Linked DNA regions of Pelodiscus sinensis. The protein of the gene in region 1 interacts with the protein of each later gene in a pairwise test. Links are inferred from orthologs where the notes say so. Each region holds a gene or a part of one and is shown in the gene's direction. Other genes may lie near its edges.

Region 1 (12,928 bases):
TTATTTCGAAATAACTTATTTTGAATTAACTATTTCAAAATAGCTTATTTCGAAATAACGCTGTAGTGTAGACGTACCCTTAGTACAGATTCTCTAGCATAGGAGAATCTGTTTCCAGCAGTAGAGCTGGCATAGCTAGCTGAAGAAATGGTGGGAGGCATCTAAGGAGATGGAATCCCCTACCTCTTCCATGAAACTGGTGTTACTGATTGTGACACTGAGGGTACATCTACACTGCATGCTTCTTTTGAAATAAACTATTCTGGAATAGTTATTCCAAAATAGCTTATTTTGAAATAGCACGTCTACACTGCAGGAAAGCCTTAAAATTAGTCTGAGGCAGGCTTCTCTAATGTAGCCATGCTATCTCAATTTAGAGCCCCAGGAGGCACTGGGGAGGAGAATAACCCTTCACCAAGGCCAATTTTGAAATAGCAGCAATGCAGCATCTACACACACATTATTTTGAAATAGCTATTTTGAAATAGGCATTATTCCTTGTAGAATGAGGTTTACAGATTTCGGAATAAGCCATCTGTTATTTTAAAATTATTTCAAAATAACAGAATGGCTGTTAACGCTAGTTATCTCGAAATAACAGTGCAGTGCGTCTACCCAGCACCCTAAATTCAAAATGAGATATGCAATTTGCACTATGGAAACTGCATATATAATTTTGAATCTATTTTGAAATAGGCTATTTTGATATTTGCACTTCACAGCGCCAAATTTCAAAACAACGCACTATTTCTAGCCATTCCTTATCCTTCATACAACAAGGTTTACCGGGATGACAAAATATTTCGAAATAATGGGTGGCTTGTGAAGACGCAGAGTAGCTATTTTGGTAGCTGTGCAGTGTAGAAGACGTACCCTTAGATAAAAAGATGCAAGGTGCAAACTCTCATTTTCTTCTTAAGACACACCTTAGAATACTCCTGTTTAAAAGGATATAGGTTCTACTTCACTATTATGGTATGGTTAGAGTGCTGCAGTTAACTGAAATTCTTTGTGTCTTCATGATATTCTGCAAATGTTTCATCTCATGAACTACCACAGTGAAACATTAAAAAAAAAAAACCTGTAAAAACCTTTCCAAGTATTTTCTTCTATTTCATAAACCTGTGTTTCTGCTGCATTTGGATCAAAACAGAACATAAGAATATAAGAATGGCCATACTGGGTCAGACCAAAGGTCCATCCAGCCCAGTCCCCATCTGCCAACAGTGGCTAATGCCAGGTGTCCCAGGGAGAGTGAATCGAACAGGTAATGATCAAGCGATCTCTCTCCTGCCATCCATTTCCACCCTCAGACAAACAGAGGCTAGGGACACCATTCCTTACCCATACTGGCTAATAGCCATTTATGGTCTTAACCTCCATGAAATTTTAGTTCTCTTTTAAACCCTGTTATAGTCCTAGCCTTCACAATCTCCTCAGGCAAGGAGTTCCACAGATTGACAATGCGCTGTGTGAAGAACAACTTCCTTTTATTTGTTTTAAACCTACTGCCCATTAGTTTCATTTGGTGGCCCCTAGTTCTTATATTATGGGAACAAGTAAATAACTTTTCCTTATTCACTTTCTCCACACCACTCATGATTTTATATACCTCTATCATATCTCCCCTTAGTCTCCTCTTTTCCAAGCTGAAAAGTCCTAGTCTCTTTAATCTCTCCTCATATGGGACCCATTCCAAACCCCTAATCATTTTAGTTGCCCTTCTCTGAACCTTTTCTAATGCCAGTATATCTTTTTTAAGATGAGGAGACCACATCTGTGTGCAGTATTCAAGATGTGGGCATAGCATGGATTTATAGAAGGGCAGTAAGATATTCTCGTCTTCTTCTCTATCCCTTTTAAATGATTCCTAACATTCTGTTTGCTCTTTTGACTGCCGCTGCACATTGCATGGACGTCTTCAGAGAACTATCCGCGATGACGCCAAGATCTCTTTCCTGATTAGCTGTAGCTAAATTAACCCCCATCATATTGTATGTATAGTTGGGGTTATTTTTTTTCAATGTGCATTACTTTACATTTATCCACATTAAATTTCATTTGCCATTTTGTTGCCCAATCACTCAGTTTGGTGAGATCTTTTTGGAGTTCTTCACAGTCTGCTTTGGTCTTAACTACCTTGAGCAGAGTTTAGTATCGTCTGCAAACTTTACCACCTCACTGTTTACCTCTTTCTCCAGAAACCATGTTGACTTTTGCCCAACAAATTATGTTCTTCTATGTGCCTGACAATTTTATTCTTTACTATTGTTTCAACTAATTTGCCCGGTACTGACATTAGACTTACCAGTCTGTAATTGCTGGGATCGCCTCTAGAGCCCTTTTTAAATATTGGTGTTACATTAGCTATATTCCAGTCACTGGGTACAGAAGCTGATTTAATGGATAGGTTACAAACCATAGTTAATAGTTCTGCAATTTCACATTTGTGTTCTTTCAGAACGTGGGTGAATGCCACCTGGTCCTGGTGACTTGTTACTGTTAAGTTTATTAATTAATTCCAAAACCTCCTCTAATGACCCTTCAATCTGTGACAAGTCCTCAGGACGGGTCAGGTTTGGGAATCTCCCTAACAACCTCAGCCGTGAAGACTGAAGCAAAGAATTCATTTAGTTTCTCCACAATGACTTTATCGTCTTTAAGTGCTCCTTTTGTATCTCAATCATCCAGGGGCCCCACTGGTTGTTTAGCAGGCTTCCTGCTTCTGATGTACTTAAAAACATTTTGTTATTACCTTTTTGGCTTTTCTTATTACATTTTTACACTTAATTTGGCAGTATTTATGCTCCTGTCTATTTACCTCCCTTTTTAAAAGATGTCTTTTTATTTCTCACTGCTTCTTTTACATGGGTGTTAAGCCACGGTGGCTCTTTTTTAATTCTTCTACTGTGTTTTTTAATTTGGGGTACACACTTGAGTTGGGCCTCTATTACGGTATCTTTGAAATTGTCCATGCAGCTTGCAGAGATTTTACTTTAGTCACTGTACCTTTTAATTTCTGTTTAACCTCCTCATTTTTGCTTAGCTCCCCTTTTTGAAATAAAATGCCACAATTTGTGCTGCTGAGGTGTTCTTCCCACCACAGGAATGTTAAATGTTATTATATTATGATCACTATTTCCAAGCGGTCCTGTTATAGTTACCTCTTGGACCAGATCCTGCGTGCCACTCAGGACTAAATCGAGAATTGCTTCTCCCCTTTTTGATAGCCTCTCTAATCTCTCTTAGCATTTCATAATCACTATTACTGTCCTGGTCAGGTGGTCAATAATAGATCCCTACTCTTATATTCTTATTACAGCAGGGAATTACTATCCATAGCAGATCTATGGAACATGTTGATTCATTTAAGATTTTTACTTCATTTGATTTTAAATTTTCTTTCACATATATATATAGAAGTATATCATCATCTGACAAAATGAACTGATTCCTGAGCATTTCTTGTACTCAAACATATTAATCAACTTATCTTTATAAACTATTAATTTACAGGATCTTAGCCATTTAAACTTTGAAACCAGTATAAAACAAAGATTAAATTAACAGGAAATCACATTATCTGCCAGTCTCAAAACAGAAAGTAAACTGAAAAACACTCTCACTTAGATAACTAGGTAATCTTTTGTCTGTGGCTCAGAATAAAAATATTTACCTCCTTTCTCACAAATGGTGTGATACGAATAACTATTTTGTTCTTCTAGATTATATTTAGGGCTTCTGATTTTCTGTTTTAACTGACAAATACCTATATAGCACCCCCATGAGAAAATGGGAATTGGCTGTTTATCCAGTGAATACTGGAAACGGTAGTGCAGACTGTGGGAATGTGATTTCCAAAGCACGCTATCTTGTTGCACATTAATTGGTCCATGTAGGCTCTGCTGGTGTGCGCTTCACGTTCCCCACTTTGCCTTAATGTTCAAAACAGCACTACATAAAAGAGCATTTGGAACATTATTAAGAGATTATTCATTACAATATATACAAAGAGGAAGCCCCAAAACTCCTTTCTGGACATCTATATCTACATAAAAATCATTTCCAGACATCTAATAGAGTTTTAAAATTACTAAAAATACCTCTAATGAATTTAATAAATCCCAAAGAAGAAGCCCTAATTATACTGTAAAAAATCTTGTACAAAAATTGGCTGTTGGATGTATTTTTATATATTGAAATGGAATTGTGCCACATGATTGATCTATTCTTTGGACAGAATATTTTTAAAATTATTATATTTGTAAATGCCTTATGTTTTTACAAAACAATTACTAATTAATGTTCTTATCATCCTTCTAAGCAAGAGAAGATAATATTATTATTGCATGTTTGAGATATGTGTTAAAGGCCATTATCAGAAAAAGGATAATAGCAGTTACTGTAATTGTTCCATGATATTTAAGTCAAAACTCTTTTTAAATACACACAAAATTTCTATCAGGCCTATTTATAAGGAACTTAAAATATGTATAAAAGAAAGACCTTTTTGCATGATTACATCATACTATGTTAGATAAAAATGGGTCTATTTAACTTCCTTGACAGAAGGTACAAATAAATAAAAGTGTAAGCTCTTTGGGGCATAGATCATCTGTGTTGCTATGTTTGTACAGCTCATAGCACAATTGAGTCCTGGTCCATGACAAAGCTTTTAGGTGCTACTCTTGGACTGCTTAGTATCTTCTTGGACTGCTTTAAGGACAGTTCCTCACAAAAATATGTCTGGGAGCGATTGCTGAATCTTGAACACAAAAGGTACCATGCCCCTGAGAAAGAGAAGCTTGTCCTAAGCTACCCAAGGTGGCTAGTAAGAAACTGTTTGAAGTAAAACAAAAATATACTGGAAACATGGTATATGTGTAAGGGAGGTAGATAAGAAAATATAAGAGAGGGAGATAACCTTCAAGTGCATATTTCACTATATCTCTATTTTCAGTTAAATCAGGCAAAGAAGTCTTCTATAGTAACATGTCTATTGTATAAGCTTCTGAAAAGGGTTTAGTCTGGGTTTTAGCCACTGCCTCCTGTATTACCTATCCTAGAATAGTTACAAATGCTTTCATTTTATTGTGCATTTGTTTTAGAGAGGAGGTCAAGTCTGCGTTCCATATATTTTTCATGAGAGGCAAAGTGGGTGAAGTAATATATTTTATTGAAACAACATCTGTTGGTCAGAGGTATGAGCTTTCAAGTTCACATGCAGCCCGAAAGCTTCTCTCTTTCTCTCTCATCAACAGAAGTTGGTCCAAAAACAAGATATTACCTGACCCACCTGGAATCAACACAGCTACTACAACACTGTGTTATGGAACAGCACAGTAAACTGCTTCCAGATTTACATGATTAAAAAACTAATTGCAAAGGGGGCTCTCTTCAAAACTTAAAGGTTACTGTGAGTAAAGTGCATTTTATGGATAGTGTATCCACAAGAATTTAAACTGGATGGAATAAAGTCAAGCATAGCACATACTTAGTAAATTAACCATGTTTTTAGATTTTCTCTTCTATCTTTGTTCATAAAAGCAGCAACAATAAAGAATTACATGAAAGAGTTACATACACTGACAACATACTTTGTTAAAAATTCAGTTCTGTTTTCTTCTAGTCACCTTCCTCCCTAGGACAAAACAAAGAGACTTTGGTACTGCTTTTGCTGATATCTCAGCTATCCATGCTGGTAAAGAAGCCCGTCAAGCCTATAGGAGAATTTAACGAGGAAACACTCAATTCTCTAAAAACACTTTGCATGTGTCTGTGTAAACGCTGCTAGCAATGATAAATTGCAGTCACGGGCCTCTTGCATGTACTGGAGAAGGAACGGCATTTGTTTGAAGTGTGTCAGGCCACGCTTCAACCTTTGACGGCAAACACTATCCCTTCTCACATTCCTCCATGTCTGCAATCTTACACCTCATGCTTATTAGCAACCCCCCTCCAAGCATGTCAGAAACAAATCCGTGCATTCCAAAAAAAAAATGATTGGACAGAAAAGCATTGGATCAGGCTTACAGAAGGTATATTGATTCCTTGTATTGGCAAATAGATTAATGCATGCAATGAGCAAGTTCTGCAGTTACTGGCATGGAACCGGAGCAGCATCCTGTTCCCACTGAACTCAATGGCAAAAAATCCCATTGCCTGCCATGGAAGCAGGCTCCTTACAGATTAACCATTCCCTCCTTCGTGAACAGAAGCAAATCCAGTGTAGCCCGGCAGCACTAGATGTATACCATTCAATGTTTTGTGGTGCAGCAATGCAACCTCAGCACTAGCGCTGCGTGCATTAACCCGATCCGCCCCCTTGCAGTGTGGCAGCACTTTACATGAAGAGTAACAGATGAGTGTGTGCCATGCACACGCTTTGTGCGGCACCAGAGCAGCCTCCCTGCCTGCAAACGACTCCAGCCCTGACAGGAAGAGACCAGAACTGTCCGATCCAACTTTGCAAGACTGGAAGCTAGTTGCCAGCACTGTGTGCAAGGGCTGCGTTGCAACCCTGCAACCTCCCTGGGCCTCCACCCTCCCAGATCTCGCAGGCAGGAGCTCCAGCTCTCTCGCTTACTCGCCTCCGTTCTCCCTCACATACACACACGCGCACATACACACACAGGCTCGCGCTCTCTCTCACACATGCACAGGGACGAAACGAAGGGGGGTGTCGAGTGCAGTGCTTTATAGATCCCTCCGCGCCTCCGTGAGTGTGTGCCGCTGACAACTCCTTGGGAAACGAGTGGAGGGGAAGGAACTACTTTCACGCCACTAAGCTGGCCCCGGAGGCGCCGAGCGGGGCCGCGCGGCAGGCCTCTCCAGCGGCTGGCGTGGAGGGGGCCGAAGGGATTATTTTCTCTGCCGCCCCCCACCCGCCCGTGGTTATTTGGAATCAAGCTGTGGCGGCGGAAGGAGCCTGAAGTCAACGCTTCCGCCCAGTTTTCCTGCGAGGCGGTGGGAGGCGAGCGCGGGGCTGCGGCTAATGGAGTTGCTGCCGCCGGGGATGGAGCGCGGCTGCTGAACTTCTCGCCGGCTCCGGCTGGGGGCTTCTCCCTTCCGCCCCTCCGCGGGGCGCCCGCTGGCCCCTGCGTCCCCCCATTCCTCACACAAGCAGCCGTGACGCATCCCGCCGCCCCCTCCCCCCTCGCAGCGCCTCCCCGCGCCGCCCCCACCCCCGGGCTTGTCCCCTGCTCGCGGGGCTGTGGCTGGCTGAGGGTGGGGTGCGTGACTTGCCCCCTCCCCCCGCGCGCCCCCTTCCCTTCCCTTCCCCCTCGGCTGGCGGACGCGGCTGTTTGGAGGAATTTCTTCTGTGGCTGCTCCCCCTCCCTGCTGCCCCGGGGCTGGCTGCGAGGGGCGAGCCCGCTCGGCGAGGAGGAGGAGGAGGGCGCTGAAGGCAGCTGCAGCGGGAGATGAGCTGCAGCGGGAGGACAGCGGCGCGGAGTTCACTGCAGCTGGGAGCCTGCCTCTTCCACCAGCGCCAGCCTGTGCCCGTTCCGGACCAGAGGAGCTGCGGCCACCACCGTCGCTGAGGCAGGGGGCTGCGCTCCAGTGCCGGACAGCAGGGTCCCTGCGGCTCTGGGATAAAAGACTTGCCGCTGCCCCTCACTGTTGTTCTCGTTGGAGAGGCAGCTTCGGGGGTTAACAATGGTGAGGTTTCTGGTGAGTTCCTGCTGCGCCCTGGCTGCGTCGGTGCTGCTGCTCCATCTCGCTGTCGGATCACGGTGAGGAAAAAAATGAGCGAAGAGACGGCGACTTCTAACAACGAGTAAGCAAATATTTGTTACTCTTCTTCTGACCCCTCTGCTTCCTGCCTCCTCTGCTTCTACCGTTGGGCAGTTCCGTGCAGGACTGCTCTGGCTTGTCGGATGGTCTGTGGCCCTACCTATGTGTGTATTGCGCGTAGGGATTGTCTGTGTTATGGAAACACTGGGGTCTCTTTTTGTGTCTTAGGGGTTTGTTCATAAAGCTCGGGAGCCAGTCTCCGTGTTTGTGTAGTGCAATTACAACATGACAGAAAGGTGGCCAGGTACTGGCGGCGGCGTGTGTTGAACTTGGGGAAAGGTGGGGGTTTAATGTCCGAACAGTGCACCTCCCTCCTCTACATGCCGCCTAGGGTCAAATCCTATCTCACAGATGTTTCACATGGAAATTAGTGTGTGGGAGCTTCATCCTGCAGGAAACTGCTGTTGAATTTTAATGGGATGAGTCAGTCAATGTAAATAAAGTTTAAACTTTTCCCTGAAGTTATGAGCTCTTGGGTAAAGGGAGGGCGAGTCTCTTACAGTTTTAATATATCGAGATTGGACGAAGTCAGGCCGCCTCTTGCGATTTTTAGATATTTATCCTACTGCTTTTAGTCTATGATATTTACATTTTGAGTGGAAGGGAAGAAATAATATTCTGTTAGTAAATAGTCCCTTTGTGGCGTTTAAAAACAAGTGCAAAGTATTTAGAGGTATGTTGATCTCAGTCTTTATCAGAAACGTGTAAAGGTATAAAGTTCATGAGGGTTACTACCAGTGCCTCTGTCTGCAAGAGGCTATGTAATCTTTTCCAGAATAATGATTTGCAATTCAGTCATTTGCTGGAATTCGTTTTACGAATGATGTGGCTTGTCATAGTGCAGACTCAACTCTTGGTGATGGAAAATAATCATCCTGTGCTTTCTAAAATGTATTTTAAATAGCGAGTTCATTTGTCATTTATATGACAAAACTGTGTCATTGGTAGTGCAGGTAGATTGCCATTTACAGGCATTCCGCTAAATAAAGCATTCCTTAAGATATAAGGAAGGAAAGGAAAATCGTTAAGGAAAATATTTTTTTCTTTTTAACACATTGATTAAATTTCAAACTTGAATAACTAGTGTTTTGAGAAATCCTAAGCTACAGTAGGTAAAGCACGAAATGTTACATTGCAGTGGTTTAGAAGGTGAATTGCTCCAGTATCAGTGTAACGAGGCAGAAGCAGTCGCCATGTTTTCTTTTTTGTGAATCGTTCTAATTTGCATACCACAATTTCCATTCATAAAAAAAAATTAAAACACCACCGTTGACATTCAACAAGACCTGCCGTGTGAATTGTATAGGCCTTTCCTGCACGTCAACAGTCTGAGTATTGTAGGAAGTTTGAACATTAGGATTTCCAGGACTACTTGATTTAAAAAAATTGGTTGTTGACAGAGTTATGTGGGAAATATCAGCTCGGGGAGGTGCTGCGAGCACGTGATCTGCTCCATTCATAAAATTACCTGGCTGTCCATTCACACTGCAGTACACTGTCTGTTCTGAACAGAGTTGCAGATTAGATCTGGATAGAGAGAGACGAGGTTTGTCAGAATTCAAGGGAAGGAGAGACTGCTTATTTCTGAGGATCATGGATAAACTTACCTTTTCTTGTTGTGTTTTCTTTGTTTTTTTTTAAAATAAAAATTGCATTCAAAGAGAAGATAATCCAGAAATCACTTCATTACATTTCAAAATGTACTGTGGGAAGGCATGTTTAGAGTAATTTCATCTTTAGAAACAGCGAATCAGAAATGAAATACTGAAAAACCAAATTCACCAGTGCATTTTTCTTGCATTGCTTTCAAGACAAACTAATTTGCCAGTTCCCATAGCAATAATTCAAATTACTTTGTACTATATTCTTTCTGCAACATGGAATAACAGATACTAGTGTTTTTAATAAGTCAAACCTTAATATGATGTTGAAAACCACATTTCAGAAAATGGTGTAACTTCTGTTAAGTAATGTCTCGTCGTAAAAATAAAAAATCAGTGAGAAGGAAAGATTTTTCTTTTTATGAATTTTACAGGACTTATGTACAGTCACTTTCATATTTAGACTTTTTTCCTCTTGCTGAAAAGTCTTTTTAAATATCAGAGGAGCAGTACTCTTTTAAAAAAAATTAGAACCAATGTGAAGGATGCTGTTTTAAATTTTTAAATTAGTCCATTGAAACATTTTTTGAGTATCTCAATTTAAAAAAATCAAATATTCAAGGAAACTTAGTTGTTGGATTCAAGTTAACCAGCAGAAAACAATTTGCATTTGGTTACCTGAATCTTTTGTTAAAAAATACTAGGTAGGTTGCTGTGTTAAAATCTTTGTGATGATGATGATACATATATTATTGGGCTAGTTTAATTCCTAGTTGGCAGAGAGACATTTTGAAGGGATTGGGGGAATTTTCTTAAAAAGCCAGGAGAATGGTGTTTGAGTGATTTCAATACTTATGATATCTACAGTTTGAGACCATTTTTGGTTTTCTGAGGTGTTTGAATGTAAACAGATGACTAATCTAAAAACTTGTAAGGCACTGTCAATTCAAAAAATTTTCTATGTGAACAGGCTTTTTATCTACTATGGTTGCAGATAGTACTCAGACATTATTGTAACAGAAACATTTGAAAAAACTTCCAATTTGCTTTATGGTTTGACATTGCTTGGTTTCACTACTTCCCTGTTTGTGTATGTCTTTCACAGAGCAACGGAGGAGTGAACAAAATTATTGCCTTAATGTATTAATCTACAAATTTCTCATCACCTAAAAGCAAATACGGGTACTTGGAAAGACATTTTGTTACAGTGTAACTGAGAATTATGCTGAAAGCTGGGTCATTTATTTTTTTGGCATGCAAAACTCTGTATTAAAAAAAATTTTACAGAACGAGTAAAGGATTGGGTTATATACTTGTTTAACATTTGATCTCATCTAAGGATATTTTGTATCACTGTAAATGATATCAGTGAAATAAAAGGCTGTGAAAATTAAAAGCGGTATCAGATGTCACTCCTTGCTTTTTTAAACGAATATGTAGAAGGTTAGCATTACAAAATTATGCTTACGAGGGACAGGAATTTTGTAGTTGGGCAAATAGTTTCCTTAGGTATGTCTTTTTGTTGTTGTTGTTTTAATTTTCATCTTGTTGTAAAGCATGAACAAATACTTTGTGCGTGTGTGTATGTGCTGTGCTAGGCTGACACATTTTCATGACAATTTGACATGGGTGATGGACAATAAAAAGAACATGATTGTTTTTTGTCATTTGGTATAGTGGAAGAGTGAAGATTTTTCTTGATGCTCATGGGCATAAGCTAATTATGCATATCTCATACTAGCATTATGTGAACAGGTACCTTACAAAGTTTGATTCTTGCCTGTGTGTACATCTCTTCTTGACTAGAAGCACCCCCAATAATTCCACAATCAGGCCTTCATTGAACAGAACAAATTCACTACTAAGAGAAAGAGAAGGTGGGTGAGGTAATATATTTTATTGGGCCAATTCAACCCTCCTTATTGTGTTTATAATATCTGGAAGTCAACACTGCCTATGACAACTAAAATAGAGTTGTATTTTTAATGTGGATAAATAACCACTAAGCTTGGATGGAATTATTATACTAATTTTGTAATACAATTACATTTTGGGACCCATTCGTCCAAAAGTAAGCAACACCCTACTGGCAGATTTTTCACATTATTTCCTATTGTTGCATATGTTAGTTCCAGGTTGCCCTTAGTAAGAGAAGTGGTCCATGGTTCTGCAAGTCCTCTTTACTGTTTCTCCTGAACTCAGTTTTGGAGACCATTTGTGCATACGGTAGGCTTGCACATTTAGGCTCTGATTTGTAAGTTCTGGATGAAAGATGATCTTAAATTCATATAGCATTCTCATTTATTTTAACTATAGAGTCATGTATTTTTGCCTGTTAAATATTTCAGTTGAATTTTTTATAACAGAGATACGTTGCTGCCTGTAATTTGACAAGGAACAGCGATATCAATCATGTCATGGCAGAGCTGGCCGATCTATTAAGTGTGGAGGGGAAAATGTTGAGTCAAGTGTATCTCCCAAAACTAGAGTGGATATTTAAAAATACAATGAGGTCCTGCAAAATATTTTCCTAGAACTTCAAAATAAAACTGCAGTACTGTATCATCAATACATTTTAAGTATCTCCTTTTATTTCCAGCCAAAATATAGAATGATTGAACTAATATAAGACTTTGACCCTGGAATCGAAACTAACTAGTTCTTTTTCAGTGTTAGTTGTTAGATTTTTTTAAATGCATTTTTGCAGCTTGAACAAACACCCTATATAGAAAAAATGAATTTAGATTTTTGAAATCTGTCACTTTTATACAAAAAACCTTAAATTAAGAGAAGTAAGTGTGTGTGTGTGTGTGTGTGTGTGTGTGTATAATCTCACACACATACAGTATATGTATATATGAGAGAAACTGTAAAAAATGTAAATTGATAGTGTCCCTTCTGAGTTTGCTAATTAGATTGTCACTGCCATTTTATAATTTATTTATTTCTGGGGCATTGTTTGAAGTTGTGGAGATTCCATTCCAATTTTAATGGCTGTGTCATGGGCTTTACTTTGGTGTTATGTCCTACCTATTACTCTGAGGGGAAAATGAATTTCAGGTTACATAATTTGAAAAGTTAAGAGAAAAATATTGATAGGTCTGCTTTAATAGCGTTTCTTGGTTATGATATCCTAGAAACATTTATTCTAGGATGCACCATAGAACTAGAGCCAATGGCATTATTTGGAGAAACTAAAGAAAGTAGTTGTGTGTTTTTTAAGGCGATAGTGTTACATTAGCACTTGACCTGAATAGTAGAGACATTCAGTATGTGTTTTGGAAGTTAATGACACTTCTTAATTTTGGCCCTGATCGTGTACACAGGAACTGTTAATGAGTAAAGGTATATGGTACATGCTTTGTGTCTGAAGGACATTTTTGTAGGTCATCTTTAATTTATCATTTAGACATTTTGTGCATATCTATACAGATGTATATGCTAGGGATGTAAAATATCATTAAATTGGTTAAATGCTTAAATGTTAACTTTAATGAGTTAACTGATTTATCAGGGAGGCAGGTTGGCCCCCA
Region 2 (12,155 bases), on another chromosome or scaffold:
AGGCTGGAGGCCTCCCTGCAGCTGTGCTCAGCTGGGGCAGGTCTCTGACCTGCGCTGTCCAGGGGGTACTCGATCGGTCCCTCCCGGCCTGGGAACCAATCCCTGCTCTGTGTGCGTGAGAGAGACGGAGGGAGGCAGGCTCCGTACTTCTTGATATTCCTGGGCTCCCTCCCGCTCCCCTTTCCCAGGAGATGGTTCCGATGTCCAGGCATGGGCCCCCCCCCGAGACGTGTCAATTCCTCGGGGCCAGCCCAGGCTGTGCTGCTAATTACCAGCACTGTGGGAGGAGGAGTCTGGCCTTGCCGGTGGAGGGAGGGGGGTCCAGGTCTCCCCAGGGCTCAACCATTACACGGCTGCAATTAATCGCTCATGAATTTTTCAGGCTCTGAAGAATCCTTGGAGGGAAAGAGAAAAGTTTGATGTCTTTTTAATTGACGGCTCCTCTCTTAAGTGGGCTGTAAATGGGCGAGCAGCAGAGGAGCTGCTGCTGGGGGAGACCAGCAGGGGCAGCCCCCTGCCCCTCAGCATGGCTTCTGGCTTTTCTCCCCTCTGTCAGGAAAAGAAGCGCCGCTCTTCAGAGCAGGGACAGGAGGCTTGGGCCAGAGCCCCTGGAAAGGGCTCAGTGCTCACCTCTCACAAGCGCCCTCGTCTGGCTGAGTGCAGGTTCCTGCCTCAGTTTCCCTAGCTGGAAGGCTCTTCGGCAACTCTGGGCTTAAGCCAGTCGATCTTAGGGAGCTTTTCCTACTGTCGAACCCAACCCTCCCTTAACCATAGAACCACTGAACACTAGAACTGGAAGGGACCTCGAGAGGTCATCGAGTCCCGTCCCCTGCCCTCATGGCAGAACCAAATACTGTCTAGACCATCCCTGAGAGACATTTATCCAACCTGCTCTTAAATCTCTCCAGAGATGGAAATTTCACAACCTCCCTGGGCAATTTATTCCAGTGTTTAACTGCCCTGACAGGAAGTTTTCCCTAATGTCCGACCTAACCCTCCCTTGCTGCAGGTTAAGCCCCTTGCTTCTTGTTCTATCCTCAGAGGCCAAGAAGAACAATTTTTCTCCCTCCTCCTTGTGACACTCTTTCAGGTACTTGAAAGCCGAGGGAAGGCAGCCCTGTTGCTGCCTGTAGTGTTTTCTAACGGGGCCCTTTGGTGTGTTGGGCAGACGTACAACTGCTACGCCACATACACAACCCAGGAACGCTCTCCAAGGACTCAGGCCCCTGAACCCGGAGCCTTTCCTCTCCCCTTGACAGCTACAGCAGGGCGGGTTAGATACGGGCACCCTAGCCCCGGGAACACTCAGCAGCATCTGAGGAGGAAGGACACCAGGAGCGGGAGCCGCCTGTTGCCGGCAGTCACCATGGAAACCACTTCCATTTGTTTCTGAAATCGTTTTGTGTCTCTCTGGTTTTCTTCTCCGCAGTCCTGCTCCTCCCCACCTAAGCTGCTCTCTCCCCAGGGCAGGAAGGGGGCAGGCAGGTTGCGGAGAAAGGGTGTGTCCATCGAGCATGATCCTCCCGCTGCGAAGGTAAAGCAGAGCTACCGGCTGCCCTCTTAGGCCTGGCCTACCCCGGGAACGTCGGTCGGACTCAGCCGCATGCGGCCAGTTTTCTAAACAGTGAGTCTGCGCCACCACAGCCGGTTCCGTCGACTTTACGGGCCGTTGAAGTCGATTCCGGTGCTGCTGAGTTCAGGGGGAGGGACCACTCAGTCGGGGCTTGCGTGGTCCACTTTCCGGTAGTGCAGATGCAGGGCTGTGAAAGTCGATGTTGTTAGCCTCCAGGAGGTGTCCCACAGTGCCCTGTGGCATCCACTCTGGCCACCACTATGAACTCTACTGCTCTCCGGGTGCACAGGAGAAGCCCTGGGAAAATGTGAATTTCATTCCCCGTGTGGCCAGCGTGGCAAGCAGACCTCCGAGCCGCACAGCTGGCCACGAGCTTCAGGAGTTCCTGTGGCCGCCGGCGAGCGCCAGCGTGGATCTCATTGCTGTGCAGGGAGAGGAATCTGTTCTCGCAAGGCCAAAGGAGGGCAGCTCTCTGTGCCACGGTCTCACAGGGCACGGAGGAGAAAGGCCACGCCAGGGCTGCCCAGCAGGGCTGCGTGAAAATCCAGGAGCTGAGGCAGTCGTACCAAACAACAAAGGAGGCAAACGGGCCGTCTGGAGCATCGCCGCGTCTATGACCGGCTGTGTGCGATCCTGGAGCAGGGGCGGGGGGCCGACCATCTTCCCCAGCCCGTCTGTGGGTTCCTCCCACGCACTCAGCTCCGGCCTGGCAGCAGCGTTTCAATTCGGGGTTGGTTCCCCCTTACTCTCTGCCCCGCTCATCACTCCTGACCTTGAGCTGCTAACGTAGCACTGCACCTCCTGGGCGGGGCAGGGCCCTGCCGGGACTCAGCTAGAACCGCCTCTAGCCCAGGAGGCCTTGGCCAATGCACCTTGGCCTGTTCAAAACCATCCCCGAGCAGGCGGAAGGGCCGGACGCAGGGGAATGGGGGGGCGGGGATGGCCGCAGCGTGAGGCGCCGAGCAGCCGAACTGGAATCCCGGCCTCCTCGCCAGCTCGGCTTTCAGGGCGGGTGCGGAGAGCAGACTGAGCGTGACTGGCACTTCCCTGGTGACGGAGGGCAAAGCTGTTGACATGCCCCCGCCGGGCCTGCTGGCTGGGCTGTCTCCATCACGCCCCAGGCTGGGGCGGGGGGGCCTGGCACTTGTGCCAATGAGCTTCTGCAGCCCTCGCTGCAGCGGGACAGTGCGACTTGCCCTGCCCGGCCGCTGCTTGTGACGGTGGCTCCCATCCAGCTTCCTGGAGCCAAAGGGTGCGGCCCCCCGGCTCTCCGGGGAGTGGCGGGCGGAGGCCTTTGCAAATCAGGGCAAGGTGACAGGCCCAGCCCGGAACAGCTCCCAGAACGTGACTCCGAGGGGCACTCTCAACGCTCCTGACCTCAGGGCGCTCGGGGCCTGCCTGGGTCACACTGCATGGGCCTGGCTCAGGAAAGGGCAGCCATAGGGCAGACTCGCTGGTGCGAGCCAATTAGGGAACCTAAGCAGGAATATCCCCCCCCCCCCCAGTATTAAAACATGACGTTCTTAGATGAACAAGCAAAACCAGAGCGCCCCGTTCGGCTCTGTCGACGCTAGAGACCTTCCAGCGGCGCCGCGGGCAGGTCCCCTGTGGAGTCTATGCCGGGGCGAGAACTCCCCTGTTGGCATAATTAAGCCATCCCCATGGGCGGTGGGGGAAGGTAGAGCTGGGGGAGGCAAACCCTAAGCCCCACCTCAGCCCCGCCCCTTCTCCCCATGGAGCCAAGCCACCCCCCTTCCCAGCAGCACCATGGGGAGAGAGGATGGTGCATGGGCCCTGCCTCCCCAGCCCTGTAGCAGAGGGAGGGCAGGTGCTCAGGGGCGGAGTGTGGGCGGGGCCAGGCTGGCAGTTTGGGAAGGCAACACCTCCCCCTGCCTATGATACCCACCTCCCCGACCATCTCCAATGAGCAGCAGTTGTGATGTCACTGGGAGAGGGGAGCGTGAGGCGTGTGCGGTCGCTTTCCCCGTATCTGGCCCCGTTCCTTATTCCTGGCCCTGCTCCAGGTTCCAGTCTCATGTCCTGGAGATTTACACAAAGTATTGTATGACCTGTTCGAACGTGAACGAGGAAAAGTTCAAACAATATTAAAAATGCCCAGGGGCGTGCATTTGTTTTGCAGAAGTAAAACGTTCCTTGCGACATATCAGGTCGGAACACGCATGTCCCTTTTACACCCAGCGCCGTAAGGGCGTCTGTCAGGTGCAGGCTGCCGCGGAAAATAGAGAGAGATGCTCCCGCTTCATGCACAGCTCACGGCCCCATGGACGATTCTGCGTCTTCATGATGTTAATGTGGTGGGACGTGGATTTAGGTAAAGTCTGACAGTGAATTTGGATTTGTTGTCTTTGTCATTTGTTTTTTACACACACACACACACACACACAATTTGTTGTCTTTGTCATTTGTTTTTGCACACACACACAATTTGTTGTCTTTGTCATTTGTTTTTTACACACACACACACACACACACACACGCGCGCGCGCAGACCTGACCGTAGTCTTCAGATGCCTCTTGCCGGCTCTGCACTAGAGGAAGGGTGGGAGGAGGCAGGAAGGGTTGGTGAGGCCTGCAGCAGCAGATGAACAGGAATTGTGTTTATTGCTGTATATTCCCCTCTAGACCGCCCTGGCCAGGACCGTGGGGCAACACCCCAGACTTTCTGCTGCACCAGTGCATGCCGGAGCCGGACTTTGCAGGCGTAGCAGGGATGAGCAATGCGGTTCAGAGGCATCTACCTTGCTAACAAAGTAACTTGATAAAAGCCACTGCCTGTAACTAAGGCCACCGGTGGGTTCACTGCCGAGGCACGGGGGGACCATGTGGGGTCACATGCTCCCCCAGATGGGTCACTAGCGTGTAATTGCTGAAGAGGGGTGCCCTGTCTCTGCCGGCCTTCCCCCCAGACGCGGCTCGCCGTGTTAGCCCTTTGGAGTATTGAATGCCATGTCCCAGGAATGCAGGTGGCGCTGCTGGCCCAGGCAGACAGAGGGAGACGTCCTGGCAGGCGGGGGTGGGAGCATGTTCGGGAAGGGGGGGGGCTTGTAGCTTGTTGCCGCTTTTTTTTTTATTGCCTCCAGGCAAGCAGGATCAATGGGGAGAGACTGCACGCTGGCGGGGGTGGGGAGGGCTGTCACTGAGAGTGCTGGGGACGGAAGGGGGGGGGTCTTTTAGGGGCTTTGTTGTGAAAGGGGATTAGCTTGAGTTTTGGCTTCTTGTCAGCGCAGGGTGCTGCTTTCCAGCGGGCAACCTCTTGGGCCAGCAGGAGGGACAGGCTGTTGGAGACCCCCCTGGGGTTGCTTTGGGCAGAGCTAGTCCATGGCCGTGGAGATTTCTGCTCCCCCCTGCAGCACTTTGGGACAGTCCTTGGTGGCATCAGACAGGCCCGCTCAGAGGTCCGGAGAGGCATGGACCACATCCAGCTTTGGAGGCCCCCTAGCCAGCCTCGTCAGTGGGAGTGGAGAACAGTGATCCCTGTAAGCTGAACGCTTGGGTGACGGCCCCGGAGAGATTCAAATGCCGCCCAGCTGATTAGCAGAGCGCCCAAAGCCCCCAACAGCTGGCAGCATGTGTTTCTTTGGGTGGTGCACATCTGCACATGCCTCGGTGCACATTGCAAAATTTATTGCGCACATAGATAGAGAAAATTAGCGAGAACATTGGTGGGGAAGGGGGCAATTGCACAGAGCCCTGGCGTTTCAAGGGGGCCCAGAGCTCCAGCTGCAACTGCAGGAGCCGTGGCAGCTGGAGCCACAGGCTCCTTTAAATTGCCATGGGAGCACTGAGTGCTGGAGGGGAGGGCCCCGCACCGTGCTCCAGACAGCACTAAGGACTGACTGCCCTGGGCCCCGCCTCTTCTGCCCTCCGGGGGGTGTGGAGCAGGCCCCCCCACACTTTGCCCCTGGGCCCAGGATGGCCGTTGGCCCCACTGCAACAATAGGAATGGCCCACGGGAACAAAATAAGGCCCCTCAAAAAAGAGCGAGACATAATTTGACAATGTTTTTATTTAACAAAAGCTTTGCTAGCCTGAGAGAGGAGGTCCCAGTTCAGTCCCATAGGGATGCGGATAAAAACAAGTTGCAAAACTTACCAAATGCTAAAAGATTAACAGGTGTCTAAATTTGAGGTCCCATGTGAGCTTGAGGCCCAGGTCAAATGGCCCTGCTGCCCTCCTCCCCTGACTGGCTCTGGCATGGGATGCTGCAGTGGGGGAGCAGGAGCACGTGTGGGGGAGCTGCCAGGAGTCTTGCCCACAGAAGAGCTCAGTGTGGGCTAGAAAGCTCTGCTCTGCCACCCCAGAAGTTGGCAGCAGGTTTAAAACAACCCAAAGGAAGTTTTTCTGCACACAGTGCAGAGCCAACCTGTGGAACTCCTCGCCAGGGGATGTTGTGAAGGCCAGCACTTTAACAGGGTTGGAAAAAGAACTAGATAAACTCATGGACTACGTCTACACTGGCACCCTTTTCCGGAAATGCTTAAAACGGAACAGTTTTCTGTTATAAGTATTTCCAGAAAAAGCGCGTCTACATTGGCAGGATGCTTTTCCGGAAAAGCACTTTTTCTGGAAAAGCGTCTGTGGCCAATCTAGACACGCTTTTCCACAAAAAAGCCCCGATCGTCATTTTCGCAATCGGGGCTTTTTTGCGGAAAACACTACTGTGCTGTCTACACTGGCCCTTTTCCAGAACAGTTTTCCGGAAAAAGGACTTTTGCCCGAACGGGAGAAGCATAGTATTTCCGGAAAAGCGGCTGATTTCTTACAGTAGATCGTCAGTGCTTTTCCGGAAATTCAAGGGGCCAGTGTAGCCAGCTGGCAAGTTATTCCGGAAAAGTGGCTGATTTTCTGGAATAAGTGGCCAGTGTAGACACAGCCATCGAGGTTAGGCTATTAGCCAGGATGGGTAGGAATGGGTTCCCTAGCCTCTGTTTTTCTGGAATTGGATTACAGGGGAGGAGGGTTGAGAATTACCTGTTGTATTTCCCTCCCATTGGACATCTGGTATCGGCAGACAGAACACTGGGCTAGATGGACCTTTGGTCTGACCCAGTCTGGCTGGTCTTATGGTCCCATGAAAGGTATCTCCCTCACCCAGCTTAACATCTCCCTGAATCCTGGGCCATGCATACTAGGGATGTCAAATAACTGGTGTAACATATTGTTTAATCCAGGGGCGGGGACCTTTTTTTGGGACAGGGGCTGCTGACCCACAGAAAAATCATTTGGGAGCTGCACACAAGAAGTACCCCCCCCCCCCACAATCCTCTAGTACAACAGAGCCTAGGGGGGCTGGGGCTAATACATTTTGTGGTCCCCATAAACTCTGGGGTGGGGCCAAAAATGAGGGGTTCGCTGTGTGGGAGGGGGCTCCTGGGAAGCGGGCTTGGGGTGTGGGCTCTGGGCAGGAGGGAGGGTGCAGGAGCAGAGTGGGGGTGCGGGATCGGGGTGGGAGGGGGCCCGCAGAGCTGGAGTACCAGCTCCCAAATGCTGGAGGGGGAGCGCCGAGGCAAGGCGGGGGCCGGATCCGGCCCTCGGGCCGTAGGTTCCCCAACTCCGGTTTAAAGGAGGGCAAGCGGGGGGAGGAGGGGGACTCCAGCCCAGATGGAGCAGCCCCCCCCCCCCCCCGCCAGAGGCAGGGGCTGATCCAGCCCCCCCCATTAACGGGTTAACCCTTCCCATCCCCACTGCTACCGCCCCCAGCCCTTATCGTCGAGAAGGCAGAGCCCAGCCCCCCCTTGCTAAGCCCGGGGCGTGGATCGCTCTCAGCAGCGCCCCCAGCAAAGCCAGGACTGGCCCCGCGGGCCGGATGCAGCGCGGCCCGCGGGCCAGCCCGCGATCTCGCTCCGGGGCCCCACCTGTAGCCCGCCCCGCTGAGTGACACCTCCCTCTGCCAATCGGCCGGCCGGCGGAGCCAATCGGGCGCCTCCCCGCGGAGGGGGCGGGGCACCTAGTGGTACAAGAGCGGGGGCGACGCGGCGCCCGGGCACATCAGGTGGCGAGCGCGGGGCTCTCGCCGGTGCATGGGCAGCAAGCGGCTTCGCGCGACCTCGCTGGGCCACAGAGACCCGGCAGCTCCCCCTGCAGCCTCCCAGGTAAGGGGGGCCGGGGGCCAAGCGGGGCTCCCTGCAGAGTGGGGGGCAGTGGGTCCGAGCCGCCAGCTGGCGCTCTCCGGGGGGTAGCTCCGGCCGCCCTTGCTCAGCTGCGGCTGGTCCCGGGCAGGTGCTGGAGAAGGAGCATCAATTGCAAAGGGCGGTGTGTGGGGGGGCGGTTACGCAGCTTCTCCCGAGGGGGAGCAGAGAGACTGGGGCTCTGGTTCACGTGCCCTGCTGCTGCCAGCTCCGGCGGCCGGTGCAGGTTGCCCTGGGCTGGCGTTGGCCCAGGACTTGTGCTGCGCCTCCTGCAAAGTTTCACACGGCGTGGGTGGGGGTGGAGGGTTCGTGCCTCATCTTATTAAATCCGTGTGGGGCTAGCAGGGATGGGGAGCCCTGCTGCTCCTGGGAAGTGGCAGAGGGGCAGGAGGTGGGGGTTGGCCTGGCTCTTTGGGGGGGGTCTGGCAGGAAGCCTGGGGGAGCCCTCCAAACCCAACCTCAGTCAACCCCCCCAAAGGTCTTTGGGGAGGTGTGTGCAGAGACCCCCCCCTCCCTTTGTTTGCCTCCAGGCCTGTGTGGCCGGGAGCAGGACCGGGTGGTGCTGCGGCGCCCAGCAGAGTGCATGTGGGGGATGAGGGTGGCTTGAATTGATGCTTCATTGTTGGGGGGGGGGGGTGAAGGAGGCTGTAGAGACCTGTTCCTGCATGTACATTAGTGGGTGCAAACACTTGCTACTGTCTATCTAGTCCCTATGCGTACCAGAGCTTTCGGTGCTCTCCCCTAGCCTCAAAGCAGCCATCTTGTCACTGCTGGGGGTGGCTGTGTGTGGGAGGGGTCTTGGTGAGTCTCCTGTGCGGCAGTTTGGGTAAGAGGGTTTGGGACTGGCCCTCGTGAGTGGCGGTGTTGCAGTGCAGGAGGCCGGTCCCTCCGGAGGACTAAGGGATTTGCAGTCCAGAGCCCCCTGTTCGGTCCCAAGAACAAGTCAGTTCCCCAGGGGTTCACCCCACCAGGCTGCCTGCCACCGTTCCCTGTAAGCTGAGCGCTTGGCCTGCCGGCCACTCCAGAGAGACTGAAATGCTGCCCAGCTGATTAACAGAGCGCCCACTGCTGGCAGCATGTGTTTGTCCTGGTGGGGCACATCTGCACGTGCCTCAGTGCACATAACAAATGATTCTGCACATGGATGGGGGGAAAAATAGAGGGGATGTTTGTGCCTGCCATGGGTTTTGTTTTTGTCGGGTTTTTCCCCTACTCCCCCACCCTCCCTCCAGCTTGCAATAGCTACTGTGCCCTGCTGTCTAGGCGCTGCTCGTGGGGTGACATGTTTTCATTAAGGTTTGGTCATCTTTCTACCAATCACAACTCTGGAGGCAGGCAGGGGGGAGGGGGAGGCGGTTCTCCTTCTCGGAGAACCTTCACAAAGTGCCACCGCATGACGGAAAACTAACAATACAGCACGCTCCAGCCCACGGAATGAAGAAGCCCTTTCCGAATGTCAGCCTGTGCGTGCATCGCTGTGTTGCATGCGGGTATAGACACACACTAGGCATGCGCGGTGCTTGTGTGGACAGTACACTGTGTGTACACACAATGGAACACACACGGCACGCAAGCGATGTCTTGCGGTTCTGGGTTTTGCACCGATCTGTTGCTATGGTTCTTTAACTGTTTGCGTGGCAGCTTGGGTGGGGATCTGGTAAATAATTCGGCAGCTCTTTTCATCCAGCTCAGGCCACCGGGAAGGTCTCCACTTCATTCCTTGTTCCAGGGATCGAGATTCCCTCCCATTCCTGGGACGATATGGGATTATCCCAGTCAGGGATGCCTTTTATCCCCTGGCTCCTAAAATTATTCAGGGAGCATGAACTCGATGGCATCAAATGGCGTCCTATATCTGAGGCTTTCAGCATCCCTCCGTGTGTAAGTGTTCTGTGTCCCCACACTCCTCTCTGCGCACACACAATGGATGAGTGCACAAACTGAGCAGTGTGGCGCAGGTGGAACTGAACCTGGGACCTCTGATGCTTAGTCTTGAGACTTAGTGACTCATCTTAGGTGCTAAGGCTGTAGAGCAAACGCACTGTTCTCTCGGTAGTGGTCTAAGGGCCACTCACCCCACGGACAGTACATCACACCCACCCTTCCCTGTGTGCATGTAACTGTCTAGGTGTGATCTACACGGGCATTGGCTTGTGACTGGCGTTCCCCTCTGCCCCAGCCCACACGTTCCCCTTACAGGTTCAGGGCCCTTTTTTGCTGCTCCTAGGGCATTGGCTCTGCCCCAACCATGCAAATAACAACCGTTCCCCACGGCATCCCTCACAGCTCTCGCTGTTCTCTTATGCAAAGCGTGGTCACTCCGGCTGCCATGGGGCCCTGTGTGCATCTGCTGGGAAGGCCATCCTTCCTGTCCCTGCACGCTGGTGGGACCCTACCTGGTGCCCGGCTGTTTTTCTGCCTTTGGTTGTAGCCGTGGCTGGTGCACCAGGAAAACCCTGCCTACTCTAGGAGCACAAAGGATTAATTCTGGAGCAGTTGGAGAGCTGCCTGTGTCTAGAATCAGTCGGACTTGTGGTGCTCTGTAGAGGATGCAGTCCTGCAAACTGGAAGGCAGAGGGACCCCAGGAAACCCCCTCTGATTGTGGGGGTCAGAGGACACTGGGGGAGCAGAACAGCTGTAGCCAGGCCATGCTGTGAGGGTCAGAATAATAAATCTTTGCAGCAAGTCAGGAAAACAGCAGAAGGGAGAATTTCCCTGCACCATGTGAGTCCCAGAGAATAACTCTGGTGCTTGGCTTCTTGCGTCTAGCAAATCCTTGGGCTGCATGAGTGGAGAGGCTCAGCCCACAGCACTGCAGAGTTTTAAACAGCGTTACCAGCTGGAATGCAGCCGCTTCTGGGTTGGAACACTGTGATTCTGTGCCAGGCTTGAGGAGGAAAACGGAGGCAGACTGGCATCTGCCCATTGTACAGATGGGAGAATTGGGGCATGTGGTGAGGAGATGGAACTAGCACGTCCCAGCAGCGCAGTCTCAAGGACAGCGGAGGCCTGGATCCCAGCCGTGTGGTGTGGTCTCAGCTCTGATTAGCATTGTGGGGAGTATTGTAAGTGGGAAGAAAGGGGCTGACCCGAATTCAGGGCTAGGGGTGTCCATGCTTAACCAGAAAGCATCACCATTACTGGGTAGCTGGAGCAGCTCCCCTACCCCACACCTGGGGGCTGTTCCAGCCCAGTGGGTCTGGAGGCCCCCTGGCCTGTGGGATCCCGTTTAAGCACTTACACTCATCCTGACTAGGGATATGAAACCCCATCTAATACGTGGGGTGTGATATTTAACTGACTTCTCAGTCCCCACCAGAAACCACTCGGACTCTACTAGTACAAGGAATTGGGACATCGTTTCACAAGACTGCACGTGCAAGGTGGCATCTCTCACTGCGGGGCCAAGCTGGGAGATGGCCCAGGCCAGTCCTGCTGAGCGCGTGCAGCCCTCTTAGCATCCCAGGCCTGCAGACTCGTTTGGTTTCCTGGTTCACAGAGCCCCCCCCTTGTTAACTGGGTCTGGTTGCGGAGCCACAGTACCAGCATCTAAGCTTTGAGCTTTGCTGGCTGAGCCTTGGCATGAGGGGGTGGGGGTAGGTGGGATGCAGGGAGCTTCCTCTGACCCTGCTGGGCATGCAGGGTGTGACATTAAGTGCTGCCAAATTTGCCCCACTTGATCTTCCTCCTCAGGCCCAGGGGACCCACTTCCTGGAAGTGTGGGGCAGGCAGCTCTAGAGCGAAAGGTGCAGACAACTCGATGGGAGGGAGCCTAAGATCTCCAAAGTCAAATACTCCCCACCAGGGAGGGGAACCTACCAGCTGGGAGCTGGATCTGGTCCTCAGGTTTGGGGCTCCCCTAGCATTGAGGAGCTTGTACTGGTGCTCCAGTACCCCCCACTAGCCTCCTGGAGGGCTGGAACAGTCTCCCAGCCTGGGCCCCCCAGGTGGTGAGAGGAATGTGGGGAGTGTCTTTCTGCTTCTCACTCGGGGTGTCTCGTGCTGTGTTGCTTCTCACTCATGTTCCCCCACTGACTCCTCTGTGGGTCAGCTGGCCCGGCCCAGGGAAGGGTTCCTCATCCCTGCTCTACACCAAGTCTCGGGACACACCCTGCTGTGGGATGAGATGGACCCTGATTTTTTTCTTTGCCCCACGTGGGAACCACTAGCCACAATGACTTTCCCTTTCTTCCCCAGAGGGGGGAGATCTCTAATCCGTTTTAATCCTGTGGGGTTTGGCGGCCACGCAAAGGCCTGCGGAAGCAAAAGGTGCAGGGAAGAATTGGCCGGTCGCTTCGGGGATGCTGCTACTGTTGGCAACCGGCTCTCCACCGTGGAGCTGTCGCCATGGCAACTCCTCAGCACCAGCTCCTAGATGTACCAGGGTAATGAGGAGTCTGTCCCTGCCCCCTCCCCTTCGGCACGAGCACAA

Evidence for each region.
Region 2: the proteins of SPRED1 (region 1) and HPCAL4 interact in binary tests that used the Homo sapiens proteins (3 or more experiments, as listed by UniProt). The link is inferred for Pelodiscus sinensis from reciprocal best matches to the Homo sapiens genes SPRED1 and HPCAL4.

The regions. Positions count from the first base shown.
Region 1 is NC_134714.1:58,051,348-58,064,275, forward strand, and holds the start of SPRED1 (sprouty-related, EVH1 domain-containing protein 1), read left to right. Parts: upstream 1-6,622; 5' UTR 6,623-7,745; coding exon 7,746-7,777; intron 7,778-12,928. UniProt on the Homo sapiens protein: Tyrosine kinase substrate that inhibits growth-factor-mediated activation of MAP kinase. Negatively regulates hematopoiesis of bone marrow.
Region 2 is NC_134735.1:2,530,895-2,543,049, forward strand, and holds the start of HPCAL4 (hippocalcin-like protein 4), read left to right. Parts: upstream 1-7,529; 5' UTR 7,530-7,686; intron 7,687-12,155. UniProt on the Homo sapiens protein: May be involved in the calcium-dependent regulation of rhodopsin phosphorylation.